Oryctolagus cuniculus: one gene and its partners. The protein of the gene in region 1 purifies or fractionates together with the protein of each later gene. This does not show direct contact. Links are inferred from orthologs where the notes say so. Each region holds a gene or a part of one and is shown on either strand. Other genes may lie near its edges.

Region 1 (4,231 bases):
AAGGGACCCAAGCACTTGGGACATCTTCCTCTGCTTTGCTAGGCCCTTAGCAGGGAACTGGAACAGAAGAGCAGCAGCTAGGACTGGAACCAGCGCCAGGTGGGGGCTTAACCTGGTATGCCAGAGCACCCCCCTCCCACCTTTTCCTTTTTTAACCCCAAGTTTCACTGAATATCACCAATACGTTGAACTCGCAGCTTGTTTCCACTCCTGACAGTTTCTCAGCCCAACCTCACTCAACAAAGGAGAGGGGAACTCAACATCAGTATTCAACCTAAGACAGGATCATTTGTATTCACTCTAGGAACGGAGGGTTGGCGAATGGGAGGGTGGTGAAGGGGGCAGGAGGAGGATTGCGGGGCCAGGTGAGTGGAAGAAACGGAAGAGTAATGATCAATTTATAGACGTGACCAGTCAACCCAGCAGTATTTATTCGGAGCAAAGCCCTGTGCTAGTCGTTTATTAATGCCACGGTGAGCAGGATCCATGAGGGGGTCCGTGCCTCCAAGGAGCCAGGAATATCAGGTGACCTAAGAAGCACGCAAGCCAACAAAACGCGTGCAGAGGACATCAAGGAAATTCGAGAAAAACGGCAACCGACATTAATTCGGGGCGATTCGGTAGGCCAGGGGCAGTCACAAAGATGACCACCCTTCCCCAATCCCAGGACAGGTAACGTGTGTCGTGTCAGGTGGTGCGCCCGGGCTGGGTCCCCGAGAGCACCGCTGCCAGAGGCCCCAGCGAGGCTGGATGGGAGTGCAGGTTCAGCAGGAGCCCTCCCGGGGGCGGGGGGCGAACAAAGACAGGAGCCGTGTGCGTGCAGGCGGAGGCGTGCGAGGTGGGCCTCGGAGGACCCGGCAGCCTGGGCGGGAACCGGCGTGGGCCAGGGGGCGGGACTGCGAGGCCAGGGAAGTCACCGCCGCAGTCGCCGCTCTCCCGGTTTCTGGCGTGGAGGAGTCCACCTAGGTTGAAAAGCCGGGGTCCGGCAAGTCTCTCCCGCCTGCTGGCCACTGTGGCTGCTCAGAGGTCCTTCATATCTGATGGCTTCGTGATTGGAAAAACCGCTCTGTTTGAAGAGCGCCGAGTCCCGCGCACCGTGGCGGCACTGCTGGCCGGCGGGCGGGCGGCCCTGGACACCGCTCCCGCCTCAGCCCCGCCGCCGCCGGGAGCCGCCGGGAGCCGCCGGGCCGCGGGAGGACGGCGCGGGCGGGGGCGGGGCCGCGGCGCACCTGCCCGGCGCGGCGGCTGCGCGGACCGACGTCCCCCCCCCCCCACGACGCCCGCCGAGTGTTTACGTGGAGACGAAGATGGCGGCGGCGGTGACGGCGCTGGCCGTGCGGCCCGGGACGAGCCGCCAGTGAGCGCGGAGGCTGCTCGCGCTCCGGGCGGGGCCGCGCCGCGCCGGGCCTGCTCGCTGGGCCGCGGAGCTCGCCGCCCCACCTCCGCCTGAACCGACCTTTCCTGTCTCCCCCAAACCCCGCCCGCTGCTCCGCCGCCTTCCCGCAGAGGCCATGGAGGACGAGGAGCGACAGAAGAAGCTGGAGGCCGGCAAAGCGAAGGTAGGAGAGGCGGAGGCAGCCGGGCCCGGGGAGGGAGGCGGCGGCTGGGCAGGGTGGGAGGGGGCCTGGGAGCGGAGCTGGCGGCGGCCGGCGCGCGCTGGCTGGCGGGGAGCGAGGTGCCGCGGCCCCGCGTTTCCCCCTCGCCCCTTGTTCCAGTAGGGGCGAAGCCCGGCGCCCCCTCCTCGCCGCCGATACTTGGGTGCTGAGTGAACGGCGTGGCTGCTTTCTCGTAAATGCCCAGGGCTGCCGTCAGCTGGTGTTTAATTGCTCCCGAATCTCAGCCTTTCACTTTCTTCAGGGGGTGTTCTGGGCGGTGCAGGCGTTGTGCTGCCCAGCGAGGAGATTCAGGGCTTCTCCTTTATTTGGGGGGGATTGGCGCGCGGCCGGCGGCTCGCCCGCCTCTCTGGCACGCTGGCACTCCGGGGCGTGTGTGATTGGCCTGTGACAGCTGCCTCGGCAGTGGCTCGAGTGTGCCACAAGTGCCAGCTGTGAACTTGGCTGCAGGGGCGTTGACAGAAGCGTGCCTTTGTATGTCTGTCTGCGGAGGTCTTTGTCGCGGCACCGAGGCTGTCTGCATGGAACTTCTGGGAACCCAGAGGTTCTGTGTTCCAAGTGACACCTACAGAATTCCTGCTTTGAGTAATGTCGTTGTCCTCTGTGTAGCTCCGGTGAGCCGCTGTTTCGTGTGTGTGCGCGCGCGCACGAAAAAGCCTGTAAAGCAAACAATACAAAATCATACACAGGTGTCATTCCTTGGGCTTCATGAAAAACTTGACACGAGATACATTTGAATAACCTATTTCTTTTAAACATTGCGTGTTAGACGTGTCTTCTGGTTGGCCCCAAAGGACCCCTTCTTCTTTACAACGAAATGACCTTTTGTAGGTTATCTGCTAATCTCTGTAGAGGTAATTGTCAGCAATCATACTTGGACTGCGGTTAAATGGTAGTGTAGTTAACTGTTTCTCCTCTCCGCCTTCCCTCCCCTCCCCCCACATAAACAAAGGAAACCGGGGCCCTGGCTGCAGTCCTCCGGGAAGGGCCACCTGCAGAGGTGCAGCAGGAGAGTGCTCATCCCAGGTGTGTCTGCCTGCGTGTGTAACGTAGCAATGCAGTGGGCTTTGCAGGAAGCTCCCTCCGCCCGAGGTCCAGGCTCACAGGTAGCCAGGTGGACTTTTAGAATCTGTACATGGAGGGAAGGGGAACAGGGCACCTTCCAGAGCCCCCAAATTGCTTACATTACACAAACCCCGTGTGTCCCTTGAGGGAGGTTAGCTGTGTGCTGGCTTCCAGAAGCACTGAAGTTCTAATCTGTCTGGCTTGGGAATTTTTACTGCTTGCCCCCAAAAATGTCTTTCCTAAAAACATGTGAAGCAGTCCCATGAAAGGTGATTTACTTTGGACAGACATATATCATGATAGAGGATTTAATTAAATAGTTGTAAGTAGTTGATTTGGCAAAATGGAGTTCTGTATGCTCTAGCGGTGTGTGTGTGTGTGTGTGTTTCAAAATTCTACCAATGGAGTAATGTTAATAGGTTAACTTGTATTTCAGAAGTTTATCTTCTTCTGGAGTTAAGCCTGCTTTTCCCAGTGAGAAATCTGTGAAACGTATAAGGCAGGATATGTTTGGGGCCACATTAGCTCTGCAATAAAAATACCGAAATAAGTCTTGAGAGATGATATGAAGAGACTGGCTTTCTAAGATGTATAAATGCAATGGAATAGTATGCAGCCATTAACGTTATGAAGACTAACAGCATGGAAGATAGAATGAAAATGGCATCATCAAAAATAGTCTATAAATTATTTCCTCTCTATATAAGCATGTGTTTTAGTTAGGACTGAAAAACATTGGGTTCTTTTTTTTTTTTTTTTTTTTTTTTGACAGGCAGAGTGGACAGTGAGAGAGAGACGGAGAGAAAGGTCTTCCTTTGCCGTTGGTTCACCCTCCAATGGCCGCCACAGCCGGCGTGCTGCGGCCGGCGCACTGCGCCTATCCGAAGGCAGGAGCCAGGTACTTATCCTGGTCTCCCATGGGGTGCAGGGCCCAAGCACTTGGGCCATCCTCCACTGCACTCCCTGGCCACAGCAGAGAACTGGCCTGGAAGAGGGTCAACCGGGACAGAATCCGGTGCCCCGACCGGGACTAGAACCCGGTGTGCCAGCGCCGCAAGGTGGAGGATTAGCCTAGTGAGCCACGGCGCCGGCCCAAAACATTGGGTTCTAAATGTAGTCATTCAGCACAAGCCATCTTGAACTCCCATGTTATGCCAGGGGCTGGAGATATAGAGGTGGTGACAATCTTTTTTCAAGTTAGATCACAGTGTACCCTAGAATGATACCTATCAGTGAATGCTAAATAAATGAAGAGCAGAATGACTAATGAGTTGTTAATGGGTGCAGCTTTACTAGTATGGTTATAGTTTAGTAACAATAGGGGCCAGCGCTGTGGCATAGTGGGTAAAGTCGCTGCCTGCCCTAACGACATCCCATACGGGCACAGGTTTGGGTCCTGGCTGTTTCACTTCCTATCCAGCTCTCTGCTATGGCCTGGGAAGGCAGAAGAAGTTGGCCCAAGTCCTTGAGCTCCTGCACCTTCATGGGAGACGTGGAAGAAGCTCCTGGCTCCTGGCTTCAGATCGGCACAGCTCTGGTAGTTGGCAGCCATC
Region 2 (4,017 bases), about 19 Mb from region 1:
ATCCCAGAGCTGCTGTTTGTAGGGGATCCAGAATGTCCCCCTGCCAAGTAGGTCTCCGTGGACACATCTGTCTGCGCTGGTGATTTCTGTAAGGGGCTCTTATCGGCGCTCTCCAAGTAAGCTGTCTCTGAGTGGGACACAGGCGGAGGCAGGATTCCGATCCAGACCCGTCCCTGGCCGCCGGGAGCTGGGAGCTGAGAGCCTCCCAGCTCGGACATTCTTGAAGCTGCCTCTCGGGCTCCTGCTCTCTCTCGGCCTGTGTTTTCTTAATTAAAGTAATGGAGGTTGAATTCCCCATGTCCGTTCAGGGGGGAGCAGTCCTAGGAATGCAACCCAGCGCTAGGCTGCGCCCCTCTGTCATCGCTGGTCCGCATTAAGATGCAGGGTGGATACAACGTAACTAGCTAAGGGACTGGGAACTCGATCCTTGCTCTGCTGATGGGAAGGTGCCCTCCTGAGGCTGGGAGAGAAGGAGCCAGGCTGGGAAAAGGAAGCCCCTCTCTGCCTCACAGCCCTTGAAAGGATGGAGTCCGAGGGCAATTACCCTCTTAGACCAGGGTGGGCCGGGGGCCAGGGCAGTAGCCAGCCCAGCCTGCAGGGGGCACCTGCATTTCATGTTGCCAGATCCCAGCCTGCGGGGGACTGGCCAAGCATCCTAAAGCCCAGGAGCTGGGGTGGGGTGGAGATGGGAAGATTGGCACCCAAAGGTGGCAAAGCCACCGACAAGGGGCTTAGTGGGGGTTGGCGAGGAGCTAAAAGAGCAAAGGGAAAAAAAATGAAGGCTCATGGCCAGGCTGGAGGAACCGAGAGAGGGCAGTGGCCCCAGGGGGCCCCAGGGGGCAGACAGCCAAGTGGAGCTCAGGTCTGAGCTGGCACTGGCTGGAGACACCCCCACCCCCACCCCGGGGAGCCGGGTCACAGGGACATGGCCCGAGTGGTGGGAGGGAGCCCCCCAGAGGCCCCTTGGTGGGGACACCAAGCCCCAGAGACAAGCCCACCCAGGTGCGTCCTGCAGGTTCCTGGGTGGGATGAACTGGTGTCTTCCGACTTCCTACAGAAGCCCAAGAGGGTCAAACGCCTCTGCCCATTGGCAGTTGTATGGGTGCCCGAGAGGGTCCTGCCAAGACAGCTTTGCTCTTAGCCCAAGGCAGCCAGCAGCAGCTTGGGAGGTCCCAGCCAGCTCTCCCCTGCACCTGCCCTCCTCTCACCGGCCTTCCCGTCCCCATTCCCGCCCCCCAACTCCCCGGCTCCCCCTGCAGGCCGGGCCGTGGGGTGGGCCGCCAGGCTGGGGCGGCGAGGTCTCGTGAGCCTTCCCAGCCACCGTAGCTCGGATGCCCTGTGAGGAAGACTGAGTGATGGCTTCCAACTCCAGTGATGGTGAGGCTGAGCCCTGTTGCTATAGCAACTCCCTGGGCACTCTCTGCCCCTCAAGTCAGGGAGGGGGCTGCAGCAGGGTTTGGGGGCGCAGGAAGGGAGGAGGAGGCTGTGGGGGGCCTGGGGACGAGGAAGACAGATAGGGGGGAGCCGGGGGTGTGCGCCCAGCGATGGGAGGGGAGTGCAGCCCAGTGTGGGGGATCCAGGCCAGGCCAGAGTACTGGCCCCCGCCCAGGCTGGGCAGTTCCACCCCAGGACCGCCAGGTTTCAGAGTGCCTAGAGGGTCTCGGGTTATTGTCCGGGAATGGGGAGTCCAGGGAGCCCCCCCCAGCCCCTTGCCCAGCTGGACACACAACCCTTGCAACCCTACATCCGCAGGATGGAGTTCTAGATTTCGGCCGTGGCTTTGTCAGGGGTCCTCTGGGGTTGTCCCTGGGACCCCAAATCAAAACCCGGCGGGATTGGGACGTCTGGTGCCATGGCCCTCTAGGAGCTAGGTGACAGAGTGGGGGAAGCGGGGGGACTTCCTGTCACCAGCAGGGTGCCCCCACCAACTCCGGGTGTTGGGTGCTCTGGGAGAGGCTGCCGCTGCCCCTCCTTCCGCTTCTCTCCGGGATCTGGGAAGAAGGAGGGAGATGGCCAAGCGGCCTCCCCCTCCCCCGCTCCCCCGGGTTGAGCCGTCCGTTTCCGGTTTGGACTTTTCATGGCCCAGAGCGGAGCCAAGCACACAGGGCAAGGTTTGACAGAGGCCAAGGGCATGCAGGATGTCGATCCCCTCCCCGCCCCCACATGGGAGCGGGACAGGGAGCCACACGCACCCGTTTCTGTCTCAGGGGTGGCAGGATTGGGTGGGGGAGCCCCGGGGTGTCTGGTCTCCCTGGCCCTCCACGCCCTCCCTACCCCCTCCCCGCCCAGCCTTTCCCTCCAGCTGTTCTTCCAGCTAATTAACAGGGCGCTCCTCAGCCCCCTGGGGCCCTCTGGCTGCTGCCTGGGCCTTAACTCCTTCACCTCTGCGCAGTGGGCACTGCCCCAGGCCCCGGGGGGACGGGGAGGGGGCAGCCAGGCACCCAGTGAGGAAGGCAGGGCCTGACAGCCAGAGTCAAGTCCCTGGAAGGGGAAGTTGGCCTTGGCGCCCCGCCCCCGGGCAGAGGGACACCCCCGGGAGTCCGCGCCTCCGCCTCCTGCCAGGGAAAGCCTCTGTGGACCCTGGCAGCCAGGAGCAGGTGCAGGCACCTTTTTAACTGCTTCCGTGGCAACCGGCTCCTCCTCCCTTCCCCCCTACCCCCCGGGGGGCTGGGCGGCTCCTGTGCTGGGTGAGGAGAGAGCCCAGGCCAGCGGGATGCTGGGATGGAGCCGGGGTCCTGCCGGAGCCAGGGTGCGGACTCGGAGACCACTTTCCAGCTGTGGCTCCAGCTGCTCCTCTGGGCCCACCTGGCCGCCCGGCTCCTGAGCTACCTGCGCCACACCTTCCAGCGAGCCTGACCTGAGCCCCCCAGCCCAGACCACCCAACCCCACCCACTCCCCCGGTTCTCCCCTCTGCTGGAAGACACAAGAAGCAGAGGTGAGTGGTGGGGGTGGGGTGGGGGCGGGGTCTGCAGGCTGAGGTCCCCTCCCCCAGTACCGCCCTTAGCTGCCTGCCCCCAGCCCCAGCAGAGGGGACGTGACCTGGGCTCCTCGTGCACCTTGGGAGGCCAGCGGAGGGCTGTGCTAGGGACTCTGCCCCACCCGGGGAGGGGGCTCAGTGGGCGCCAATGAAGAAGGAAACAGGACCAGGCCCCCCGCTGCCTTCCTGTGTGGGTCAGGGCCCCGCCCCTCCCCCCGCCACCCAATCCAGAGTTCTGTGGGAGGAAAGGTGCCTGTGTGGGTGGGTGTGTGTGCACATGTGGGAGCAAACCGTCTCCAGTAGACCCCATGCCCAGAGCGGTCTCTCGGCCAGCTGGTGGCCCAGCCAGGCGCCAGCTTGGGACGGCTGTCCCCTCTGGGCCCAGCTCTGCCAGCAGCCTTGGGGACAGTGGGGGCGTGGTGCCAGTGACGGGCAGGAGCACGGTGGGGCAGGGGGTGGGGGCCGTGTGTGCTCCGCGTGGCTGTTTTCATCGAAGCATCTGGGGCCTGGGGACAGTTCTGTCCTGGTCCACCCCAGTGCACGTGACCAGCGGTGAAGCCGATGGCCGGGACGGCAGTAAAAACGGCTCACGTCATAGCAGTGGGGGAGGGCTTGCAGGCAAATGATCAGTCTTCCGATCTGTACAATGGCTGGGATGGAGCCTGCCGGGCTGGGGCTGACGCTTAGAAAACACCACGTGCAGGGCGGGCTTGGCGCCTGTAGGGTGTTGTTCGGGGGTGCGTGTGTCTTGTCCATGTTCATCCAACTGCCTGGTTAAGCTCTGGACACCTACCGCCGAGTCTGCTGTCTCAACCGAAAAGAATGCTGCAAAAAAATTAATAGGGAACATTTGTGTCCCACGCCAGCCACCGTCCAACCCCCCTTTGCCAAAGTGAGCTCCTGCCATCCACACAGCTTCGCTGCCTGTATGGTTAGGTCGCTGTCATTATCATCCCCATTGTATAGATGAGGAAAACTGAGGCCCCCTCCCCCAACAGAGGCGCGGTCAGTTGTGCCCAGTGCGTCAGAGAGCACGGGC
Region 3 (3,513 bases), on another chromosome or scaffold:
TTGTGCATTTCTGTAATTCTTGCTGAGTAATAGGACTGTGGCACTTGCAGTCCGTTTTCCTGATTCTTCTCTTCTCTTTAGATGGGAGAAATGAAGGCCGAGATCTCCAAGCTGCACAAGAAGCTGATTGAACAAGAGAAGAGGTTGCAAAGCACCCTGAAGCTTCTGCAGCAGAGCAAGCACCAGGAAAAAGTGATCTTTGATCAGCGTAAGCAGCGTGCGCCCTGGCTCTGGGTTGCGTTTCACACCCCATCCATCCCGCCCCGTGCACAGAGGCCTGCTCATGCCACCCCGCTATGTAGAAGGGCCCTCAGGGCCAGGGGCTGCCATGCTGGGGAGATAGTGTGGCGGCTTGGCTCTGAGGGCTCAGGCTGGGGGGATTATAGGGGTGCCGAGGTGGGAGTGGGGTGGGTGCTGCCCTGCCCTGGGAGGTGCCCTGGGAGGGTGGGCCAGGTGACGGCTGGGTGTAGCGTGAAGGGATGAGCAGGCGTCACCACGTGGAAGGGGCCTGGCAATCACAGAGGTGGAAGCCGAGTGGGAGGCCAGGGCTGCGCTGGGCAGGGCCTCAGGTGGCCGGCTAAGGGCAGATGTGTGTCGGGCAGAGGATCCGCCTGTCACATCCATGTGCAAGAAAGGTTTGCTGGGGCTGGTGCCCCCGAGCAGAGGAGGCGGGCACACTGGCAGCCAGGGAAGGAGGAGGACCTTGGCCAGGAGCGTGGGGGCCCAAGGGCAGGGGTGCGGATGCAAGAAATGTTCTCCAGGCCACGCAGAAACTCGAGTTGGAGGCCAGGCACCTGCACACATGGTTCAAGCCCCGGCACTCATCTCCCCCGGCCATGTGTGTTCAGAGGAGCGGTTTCCATCGGGGCCGCGGGCAGCACAGCCCCAGCTGGGCCTCCTGCCGTCTGCACGCCAGTTTCCCTGTGGTAGGGGAAAGGCCGACCATGGTGTCTTCCCATATGGGGGGCCGGTGTGCTCTGCATGTCTCTCTCCTGAAAGGCCAGTGTTGCCGCACCACTTCTGAGAAGCACAGAATGTGGACTGTTGCCAAGTGCAGTTTCTCCTTAGCCCGGGAACCTTCTGGGATGAGCAGGAGTTAGACAGTTAGTCTCCTGCCATGGTGGATGACCTCATGGCCCCAGGGCTGTACTCCCCAAAATAAGAGAGAACCGGGGCCGGGGCCGGCGCTGTGGGGCAGCAGGTTAATGCCCTGGCCTGAAGCGCCGGCATCCCATATGGAAGCCAGTTTGAGTACGGCTGCTCCTCTTCCGATCCAGCTCTGCTATGGCCTGGAAAAGCAGTAGAAGATGGTTCAAGTCCTTGGGCTCCTGCACCCGTCTGGGAGACCTGAAAGAAGCTCCTGGTTCCTGGCATCGGATCTGTGTAGCTCCAGCTGTTGTGGCCAGCTGGGGAGTGAACCATCAGATGGAAGACCCCTCTCTCTGCCTCTCCTCTCTCTGTGTAGCTCTGACTTTCAAATAAATAAATAAATCTTAAAAAAAAAAAAGAGAGAGAGAGAGAGAGAACCAAACGTTTGGGGACATGCTTAGGACATACCGAGGCTTTTGCCTGAGTGAGAGATGGGGCAGAGAGGAGGTTACCAGGAGCCTCATGGGCTGCCCTCAGGGAGCAGCAGCAGGGACTGACCTGGCCCACTGGTGCATTCGAAGAACTGTAGCGTGGGAGGGAGCCAGGTGGAGGGGCTGGACAGTGCCAGCGGAGGTCATGTTGAGCGGGACTGTGTGAGCAGCAGGGCCAGGAAGTGATGCTTTGCTCAGCCAAGTCCGGGAACAGCAGCACCCTCTGCCCCTGCGCGTCTGCAGCCTCGGACACGCACAGGGCGCGTTTCAGGTGAGGACGTTTCAGAAGGAGGCAGAATTAGCTTCCCGCGGGTCAAGTTACCGAGGCAGCTCAAGGGGGCCGAACACGGGCCCTGGTGTTCTGGGCAGTGGGCACAGACTCATGCGTGGGCACAGCTGGTTCTCCAGTGCCCTGGGTCACCTACATGGAATGGCTTGAACTCGGAGCTTGCAGACGACTCAGACTGTCCAGGTGGCCTGGGCTCTGACCGCAGCTCTAGAAAAAGTGCCTCCCTTCCTCGTCTGTCAAGCCAGGGGTGACATGCTGCCTAAGCCGCACTGTGCTGGCGTGACCTCAGGATGGAGTCGACGCCCAGCAAATGTTGTCTTCGTCTTTCTGTTCATTACGCCAGGCTGAATCCTGTGCGTGGTGGTGGCAAATCAGTCCTGTAAGAAAGTCACGGTCTTCTCGCAGCATTCCCCCTGCCAAAATGGGGTCTCCTAGCTCGTACCACCAAGGTCTGGCACAGAGTGGGCGTGGCCTGGCCCAGCGTGCGCACCTGGTGGCTGACTGGGGCCTGCAACTCCTCCTCCTGTGCTGGGCTCTGCGGCTCATTGGAAATTTCCCCGAACCCTGCCAGTCTCACAGGTCTGTTGCTGGCTCTCAGGTGACCAAGTAGGGGCAGGTGTTTGGCACCGTGGCTTAAGTTGCCACTTAGCACACTCACATCCTGAATCCCAGTGCCTGCTCTGAGTCCTGGCTCCTCTTCCTATCCAGCTTCCTGCTCCTGCACACCCTGGGAGGCAATAGGTGATGCCTCAAGTACCCAGGTCCTTGCCACCTGCATGGGGTACCTGAATGGAGTTCTGGGCTCCTGGCTTCAGCCTAGCACAGCTGTGGCTGCTACAAGCATTTGGAGTGAACCAGCAGATGGAAGATAGATCTCTCTGTTTCTCTCTTTCTTGCCGCCTTTCAAATAAAATGAAAATGGACAGTAATTAAAAATTGAGGTGACTGAGTAAAAGGTGGCCTTGTTGCCTCCCTTTGCTCCCCACGGGGTAGCAGGGAATGGCCAGGGCCAGGGCCAGTCCCTGTCTGCATCAGGCACGCCACCTCCTGCCAGAGTCCAGTGGAGTGTGAAGAAAGGGGGTCCCTTGAACACCCGAGAACCCTGCCGCAGGTCACTCACTCTGCCTCTGAGCCTCAGATCCTTACTTGCAAAGTTAGGGTGGGGGTGGGGTTTTCAGTGAGCCACCCTGGCACATGCCTGTCACAGGTCATCCCTGCTGCTGCTCCCTGAGGGCAGCCCACGAGGCTCCTTGCCACCTGCTCCCTCCTCCTTCCCGCTCTCACTCAGGCAAAAGCCTTGGTATGTCCTAAGCATGTCCGCAGACGTTTGGTTCTTTCTTGTTCTGGGAGTGCGGCCTTGGGGCCACGAGGTCATCCGCCTGAGTAGGAGACTAACTTTTTCTGACTAACTCCTGCTCATCCCTCGAGACCCGGCAGGTCTTGACCCCCCCATGACCCAGGGCCTTGGGCCAGCGCTCAGGCTGCTTGCTCGTGTTTGGGTCTCCCTGCGGTGCCACAGCGTCTCCCCAGCCTCTGTGCCGGAGCCTCTGCACGTGTCGGAGGCTCTGCCAGTGTCACGGAGTCGGAAGCTTCCTGGGGACGGCTAAGGAGAACCCGTGCTTGGCAGTAGTCCACGTTCTGTTC
Region 4 (3,513 bases), on another chromosome or scaffold:
GACGGTTGTTGGGAGCGTGCCGGCACGGGCTCGGGCTTCACTGCCGCCTGGCTGCTCCGTGAGGCTGCGGCTCTGGGATTTCACCGCGTGCTGGTGCTCGTGTCGCCGCAGATCAGCCGCATTGAGTACATCCATTCGAAGAACTTCATCCACCGAGATGTGAAGCCAGACAACTTCCTCATGGGGCTGGGGAAGAAAGGCAACCTGGTCTACATCATCGACTTTGGGCTGGCCAAGAAGTACCGGGACGCAAGGACGCACCAGCACATCCCCTACCGTGAGAACAAGAACCTCACAGGGACCGCGCGGTACGCCTCCATCAACACGCACCTCGGAATTGGTGAGCCCCGCCCGCGGGGTGCTGGCTTAGCTAGCTGTGGGTGTGTGCATCGCGCATCTCGGGCGCCCAGGCTTGTGAGCGTGTCTGTTGCCGGGGCCCTGATCAGGCCTTTGTAGCAGACAGTCTGGCTGCAGCAGCAGTTGAAGCCTGGTTGTCCGGCAGGAGGCAGGGCGGTGCCAGGATGTTGCCCCCTCTGGGCTGGGGCTGGGGCGGTCCTCAGTGGCGCCTGGGAGCACCTTCCGCCACTGAGGGGGCGAGTGTTGCCTCTGTGCGAGCACACGGCCGCCAGCCCTCACGCCGTTCCTTTTCTTTGCAGAGCAATCTCGAAGGGATGACTTGGAGTCCCTGGGCTACGTGCTCATGTACTTCAACTTGGGCTCTCTGCCCTGGCAGGGGCTGAAGGCTGCCACCAAGAGACAGAAGTACGAACGGATCAGCGAGAAGAAGATGTCCACCCCCATCGAAGTGCTGTGCAAAGGCTACCCCTGTGAGTGTCCTCATTCCGCAGCAGGCGTGGCGGCAGAGGGGCCGCTGTGTGTGTGGAGGTCACGGTGGCCTCTTGTTTGATGCATCCCGAGTGTCTCTGGTGGGAGCTCCGTCAGCCCAGAGGAGGTGGAGGCAAGGCCCGGCTGACCTTGCGAAATGTCTCGGACGTTGGGAGGTGGAGAGTGAGTGGTGGCTGTACCTGCCTTGTGGGCTGACCACAGCCTATAGCCAACCTCAGTGTCTGGGTTCGTAATCACTGAGTTTTCCTGTGTTCTAAGACTTCCCTGGGTAAAATTAAGTTTGCTATGTGATGTTGAATATTTTAAAAACACTTTCCCGAGGCCTAGATTCTTCAAAATGTGGCTGGTTTTAAAATGCACACTTGCAGGGCCGGCGCTGTGGCATAGCGGGTAAAGCTGCCGCCTGCTACCCCAGCAGACCACGTGGGCACTCGTTCAAGACCCGACTGCTCTGCTCTGATCCAGCTCCCTGCTGATGTGCTAGGAAAGGAGTGGAGTTCGTCTGACGTGCTTGGGCCCCTGTACCCACATGGGAGACCCGGAAGAAGCTCCTGGCTCCCAGCTTCAGCTTGGGCCAGCCCTAGCCATTGTGACCATTTGGGGAGTGAACAAGCAGATGGAAAATCTCTTTCTCTTTCTCCCTCCCTCGTGTGTGTGTGTGTGTGTGTGTGTGTGTGTGTGTGTTTCTCTGTCTTTTAAGTAAATAATTTTTTAAATATTTATCTAAGAGGTAGAGTTATAGACAGGTTCTTCCATCTGCTGGTTCACTCCCCAGATGGCCACAATAGCTGGAGCCAGGAGCTTCTTCCAGGTCTCCCATGTGGGTGCAGAGAGAGTCCACTGCTTTCCCAGGCCATCCCAGAGAGCTGGATCCGAAGTGGAGCAGCCGGGACTCAACCAGTACCCGGCTGGGTGGGATACCGCTGCCGCATGCGGAGGCTTCAGCGCACTGTGCCACAGTGCCAACCCCGAATAAAGCAAGAGGCGGCACACTCCCTGGGTGTGTGGCCACAGGGGTGAGCAGTGGTATTGACAGGTGGGCATTTCGCTTAGCTTTGTGCTGCTTGTCTTTCAGCTGAATTCGCCACGTACCTGAATTTCTGCCGTTCCCTGCGCTTTGACGACAAGCCCGACTACTCGTACCTGAGACAGCTCTTCCGAAACCTGTTCCATCGCCAGGGCTTCTCCTACGACTACGTGTTCGACTGGAACATGCTCAAATTTGTAAGTGCTGCCGCCGCCAGCTCTGCCTTCTCGAGGCATGACGGGAACTGCCCATCGGTGGGAAGCTGGCGGCCCTCGTCCAGGGCCACATCGTGTGCAGGCGACTGTGCCGTCGAGGGCTTGGGTTTTTAGGGCATGTTTGCCAAATTGGGGAAGCCCGGTATCCCTTGTGGGCCCTGGGCTGATGCGGGTGTGTGCCGTCGAGGAGAGCCAGGCTCCCCTGAGACCATGTGACGCGGGCAGCAGGTCCTGGAGTGGCCGAGAGGTCTGCCTGCAGCCGCAGCTCCTGGGAGTTGGCACGTGCAGGTTTCTGGGGTTGGAGTGGCCAGCACCAGTTCTCAGAGCTCCGTGGGGCTGCCTGCGGTGCCCTCACCCAGCGTCACCCGGGGCTGCAGGGAGCCAGAGGGCCCAGTGCCGTGGGGGCTGTGGGGACCCCCGTGCTGTGAGGAGCGCACCTGCTGTCTGGATTTGGCCCTGTGGTGAGCCCATCTCACGTTAGGTATCCTTCTCACCACAGTTCGTGATGTGTGCATGAGACGCCATGGCTGTGCCCGGCCAGTGCTGGGGTGCAGTGAGCTGAGCTGCCGCCTGCAGCACCAGCGTCCCGTCGAAGCCCCAGTTCTGATACCCAGCTCCCTGCTGATGTGCCCGGGAAGTCAGCAGATGATGGCCCAAACCCAAAAACCTGGGCCCCTGCTACCCATGTGGGAGACCACCATGGAGTTCTGTCTCCTGGCTTTAACCTGGACCATCCCCAGCCTTTGCAGCCGTCTGGGGAGTGAACCAATGTCGCCGTCTCTCTCTGAAGCTCTCCCCACTCTGCCCTGCAGACCGAGGGCAGGCAGCCGTTCCCACTTGGCTGCGGTTGCTGCTGATGCTGGCCGCTTTGGTCCAGCTCTGGTGCCTTCTTCCACTGAAGATTGTCCCGCCCAGCTGTCACTCAACTCAGCACCTTAGCAGTTGACAGGATCTAGTGGAGGAGAGCTGGCACCGTGGCTCACTAGGCTAATCCTCCGCCTTGCGGCGCCAGCACACCGGGTTCTAGTCCCAGTCGGGGTGCCGGATTCTGTCCAGGTTGCCCCTCTTCCAGGCCAGCTCTCTGCTGTGGCCCGGGAGTGCAGTGGAGGATGGCCCAAGTGCTTGGGCCCTGCACCCCATGGGAGCCCAGGAGAAGCACCTGGCTCCTGCCATCGGATCAGCGCGGTGCGCCGGCCGCAGCGCGCCAGCCGTGGCGGCCATTGGAGGGTGAACCAACGGCAAAGGAAGACCTTTCTCTCTCTCTCTCTCTCTCACTGTCCACTCTGCCTGTCAAAAAAAAAAAAAAAAAAAAAAGAATCTAGTGGAAGAGTACAGTTTTTTGCCTCTTCAGAAGGCAGCAGGGCCAGTGGTGTGGCTGGAGACCACTGGGCGGGCAGGCAGGCATCCTGCCCTGGGGCTGGAGTC
Region 5 (3,513 bases), on another chromosome or scaffold:
AGAAAGGTCTTCCTTCCATTGGTTCACTTCCCAAATGGCCCCCATGGCCGGCACTGCACCGATCTGAAGCCAGGAGCCAGGAGCTTCTTCCTGGTCTCCCATGTGGTTGCAGGAGCCCAAGCACTTGAGCCATCCTCCACTGCCCTCCCAGGCCACAGCAGAGAGCTGGACTGGAAGAGGAGCAACCAGGACTAGAACCTGGCATCCATATGGGATGCTGGCGCTGCAAGGCAGAGGATTAACCAAGTGAGCCACGGCACCGGCCCCTCCCTGCTGTCTTAATTAAGGCCAATAACCCATCAGGATGCTCTTCTGCTTTTTGTTCTGCTTCATTCACTTGCTTCACAATGTCAGACTCTCCCAAAGCTTGAGTACCACTTCTAGAAAAGTTGCTCCCAGAGGATCCTCTCCAGCCGGACTTCTTCACTCATGCCTGGGAAGACCTTGGAAATGCCTAATGAAGCTAAGGCCAGGTGGACTGGGTATTGTCACTGAGTTTCTCCACTTGGATCCTGTATTCCTTCTTTGACAGGGAATAGCTGCCACTGTGGGCACTAGTCAGTTTCTGCTCCTGCTCGAGTGGAGGTCAGTAGAAGCTTCCCTAAGGAACGCTTGTAGTTACAAGAGGGGGTGGCACTCCTTTTCTTTTCAAACTTTCAGGTGGTTTGCTTGCCTCTGAGCACCTGCTGTCTCTGAAAGTTCACCTGCAGTGCCCCACTGGGAGCTCTCCAAAGGCTGAGTTGGTGTCTGGTGCTGTTTTGTTGTTATTGTTGTTGTTGTTTTTAACCTTCCATAGCTACAAGAATTGGCCTTGCATGATATGAATAGAGAGTTCTGGGAAGTGTGTGAAAACATGCATAGGAGGGATTGGAAAATGAATGGATAAATCTGCAGGATACTCTGGGATTGGCTATGTGGTACAGTGACTTAAGCTGCCTCTTCAGACACTGACATTCCATGTTGGATTGTGCTTGTTGGAGTCCCAGCTACTTTGCTTCTGATTCAGATTCCTGCTACCTGGAAAGGTAGCGAATGATGGCCCAAGTACTTGGGTTCCTGCCACCCACATGGGAAACTTGCATGGAGTTCCAGATCCTGAGTCAAGCCCCAGCCTTAGAAAGCATTTGGTAACTGCACCAGCAGACAGAAGATCTTTTCCCTCCTCTCTCTACTTCTTTATCACTCTGCTTTTCAAATAATTTTTAAGAGATATCTGTTGTTTTTCTCCTTAGATAGAAATGCAACTTGCTATTGAAATTATTATAATATTTGTAACATTATAAATGGATTTATAAATATTATTTTTTGACATGCCTATTCAAGCATAAGGAAAGGGGCTTTATAATTCTCATTTTCTGTCTTAATTGTTCTCTTTCCATAACATTCCTGGCCTAGATTGGCCAATATTCCAAAGTATAAAAGTAACATTTTAAATAATACATCTTTATCCTCGACTTCAGAAAATCCATGGTAGATGATGCAGCCACAACAGAGCGACTAGAGATTGAATGGCTCGTTCCAAGTATATTGGGGGAAAATGGGACAGAATCTGCCTAAGTACCAGAAAGCAGACCTTATTTGTACAGCCGTGTAAGTAGGGAGAGTAGGATTCTACCACTGCCCACACTAGGAGTGTAGGTGACTTCTCTGTTTATGTGGGTGAAACGTGGCACAGGATAGGACCTGGGAATTCTACAGCTGATAGAAAATGAGCCAGTGAAGTCCATTCAGATGTTGCGCCCAGTTGTCTGTTATGTGCTGTCTTTACCCCACAACCGCTCCAGCATCAGGAACCTACAGTGAAATAGGCCCTTACTCCCTTGCTGCTGCTTTACTTTTCCAGCCTTTAGGGTATTTTTATAGTTTCCAAAAGAAAACTTTCCATTCTTGACAGCCTGTGTAGGAAAAAGGAATAGCTAACTTGGGTCCAAATGACTGTTCACCCATTTAGAAGCCTGAGACTAAGCAGTTAACATTTTCCTGTCCATGTGTCTCTCCCCACCTATGTTCACACGTGTCTGAAAAGTGCCTGGCTCTAGGTAGCTCTGATTTACTGTCTCCTAATCAGAATCCATGACTTTACTGGGGTCAAGGTACCTTTTATATGTCTGCCTTCCATTTTGAGTATCCTCCCCTATCTTTTCATTAATTTAAAACTACTCATCCTTCAGATCCCAAATTTATATTTTTGCTACAAAACTGTCTTCAATCATTCCTGCTTACTGTGATCTCCCTCCCATCTCAAATTCTTGTGATGCTTGCCTTCTGTAGCTTCACCTAGTGTATTTCATATGCTGCCTTGAACTGTAGACTCTTTATTCCTGTGTGTTTTGTGTTGTCTCATGATTAAGATGGTGAAGTCCTTGTACTCAAGAACCATCTAGTTTTTTATTCCTTCCTTTTTTTGGAAGGCTGTCTTTTTTTTTTTTTTTTTTTTTTTGACAGGCAGAGTGGACAGTGAGAGAGAGAGACAGAGAGAAAGGTCTTCCTTTTGCCGTTGGTTCACCCTCCAATGGCCGCCGCGGCCGGTGCGCTGCGGCCGGCGTACCGCGCTGATCCGATGGCAGGAGCCAGGAGCCAGGTGCTTATCCTGGTCTCCCATGGGGTGCAGGGCCCAAGCACCTGGGCCATCCTCCACTGCACTCCCTGGCCACAGCAGAGAGCTGGCCTGGAAGACGGGCAACCGGGACAGAATCCGGCGCCCCAACCGGGACTAGAACCTGGTGTGCCGGCGCCGCTAGGCAGAGGATTAGCCTAGTGAGCCGCGGCGCCGGCCGGCTGTCTTTTGATTTTAAACAATGACTGTGAGCTCCCCAATGTTTGATTGGGAATTCTTTGTTTTGTGGTCTGTTTGTGACCCACAGGTGGCACCCATTGAACACTAGATAGCAAGCAGCAGTGTGTCGGGCATTTGTCTGGCTTAGGCTACAAGTCTTTTTCTTCCATTGACTACTCTGGAATTGAAGTATCATTAAACACTCAGTTGACACAATAACTTACATAATCTAACAATTGACGTGTCCCAGTTAACTAAACCGTGGACATTGTCTTACACAGGCATTTACTAGATTTTTCATTTTCTTTCTTATAGGACCGGGTGACTTTTAGAAGAATCATAGTGAAAAACAATGCAAAAAAAAGGAAGATGTTTGAATCGTTTATTGAGTCTGTGCCCCTCCTTAAATCACTAGAGGTAAAATCTATTTGAGTAAGAGTCTTTTTATGGTGGGGAGAGAGAAGCTATCTGTTACTAAGTTTTCAAATCATATTATTCTAGCCCATTTCTGTGTTGTATAAGTAGTGTAACTTTCAGTTAAGGTCTTTTCCTTATGATTTGTGTGTCTGTTGTTTCAGGTATCGGAACGAATGAAGATTGTGGATGTCATCGGAGAGAAGGTCTATAAGGATGGAGAACGCATAATCACTCAGGTAAGCAGAGGCCCTGCCCAGCTCCTTTCCTGAAGTCACCACTTGAAAACAAGCACATCACTTTTGTCTCTTAAGATGTCTGTG

The links.
Region 2: the proteins of AKAP9 (region 1) and PRKACA purify together in Homo sapiens (affinity purification with mass spectrometry; 7 studies listed by BioGRID and IntAct, with this or other methods). This does not show direct contact. The link is inferred for Oryctolagus cuniculus from reciprocal best matches to the Homo sapiens genes AKAP9 and PRKACA.
Region 3: the proteins of AKAP9 (region 1) and CDK5RAP2 purify together in Homo sapiens (affinity purification with western blotting; 4 studies listed by BioGRID and IntAct, with this or other methods). This does not show direct contact. The link is inferred for Oryctolagus cuniculus from reciprocal best matches to the Homo sapiens genes AKAP9 and CDK5RAP2.
Region 4: the proteins of AKAP9 (region 1) and CSNK1D purify together in Homo sapiens (affinity purification with mass spectrometry; 4 studies listed by BioGRID and IntAct, counting the BioPlex papers as one, with this or other methods). This does not show direct contact. The link is inferred for Oryctolagus cuniculus from reciprocal best matches to the Homo sapiens genes AKAP9 and CSNK1D.
Region 5: the proteins of AKAP9 (region 1) and PRKAR2A purify together in Homo sapiens (affinity purification with western blotting; 3 studies listed by BioGRID, with this or other methods). This does not show direct contact. The link is inferred for Oryctolagus cuniculus from reciprocal best matches to the Homo sapiens genes AKAP9 and PRKAR2A.

The regions. Positions count from the first base shown.
Region 1 is NC_091447.1:43,775,552-43,779,782, reverse strand, and holds the start of AKAP9 (A-kinase anchor protein 9), read left to right. Parts: upstream 1-1,425; 5' UTR 1,426-1,511; coding exon 1,512-1,559; intron 1,560-4,231. UniProt on the Homo sapiens protein: Scaffolding protein that assembles several protein kinases and phosphatases on the centrosome and Golgi apparatus. Required to maintain the integrity of the Golgi apparatus. Required for microtubule nucleation at the cis-side of the Golgi apparatus.
Region 2 is NC_091447.1:62,981,603-62,985,619, reverse strand, and holds the start of PRKACA (cAMP-dependent protein kinase catalytic subunit alpha), read left to right. Parts: upstream 1-1,214; 5' UTR 1,215-1,355; coding exon 1,356-1,377; intron 1,378-4,017.
Region 3 is NC_091432.1:224,284,530-224,288,042, reverse strand, and holds part of CDK5RAP2 (CDK5 regulatory subunit-associated protein 2), read left to right. Parts: intron 1-81; coding exon 82-208; intron 209-3,513. UniProt on the Homo sapiens protein: Potential regulator of CDK5 activity via its interaction with CDK5R1. Negative regulator of centriole disengagement (licensing) which maintains centriole engagement and cohesion. Involved in regulation of mitotic spindle orientation.
Region 4 is NC_091448.1:764,327-767,839, forward strand, and holds part of CSNK1D (casein kinase I), read left to right. Parts: intron 1-111; coding exon 112-340; intron 341-656; coding exon 657-827; intron 828-1,921; coding exon 1,922-2,070; intron 2,071-3,513. UniProt on the Homo sapiens protein: Essential serine/threonine-protein kinase that regulates diverse cellular growth and survival processes including Wnt signaling, DNA repair and circadian rhythms. It can phosphorylate a large number of proteins.
Region 5 is NC_091441.1:100,345,441-100,348,953, forward strand, and holds part of PRKAR2A (cAMP-dependent protein kinase type II-alpha regulatory subunit), read left to right. Parts: intron 1-3,091; coding exon 3,092-3,193; intron 3,194-3,354; coding exon 3,355-3,429; intron 3,430-3,513. UniProt on the Homo sapiens protein: Regulatory subunit of the cAMP-dependent protein kinases involved in cAMP signaling in cells. Type II regulatory chains mediate membrane association by binding to anchoring proteins, including the MAP2 kinase.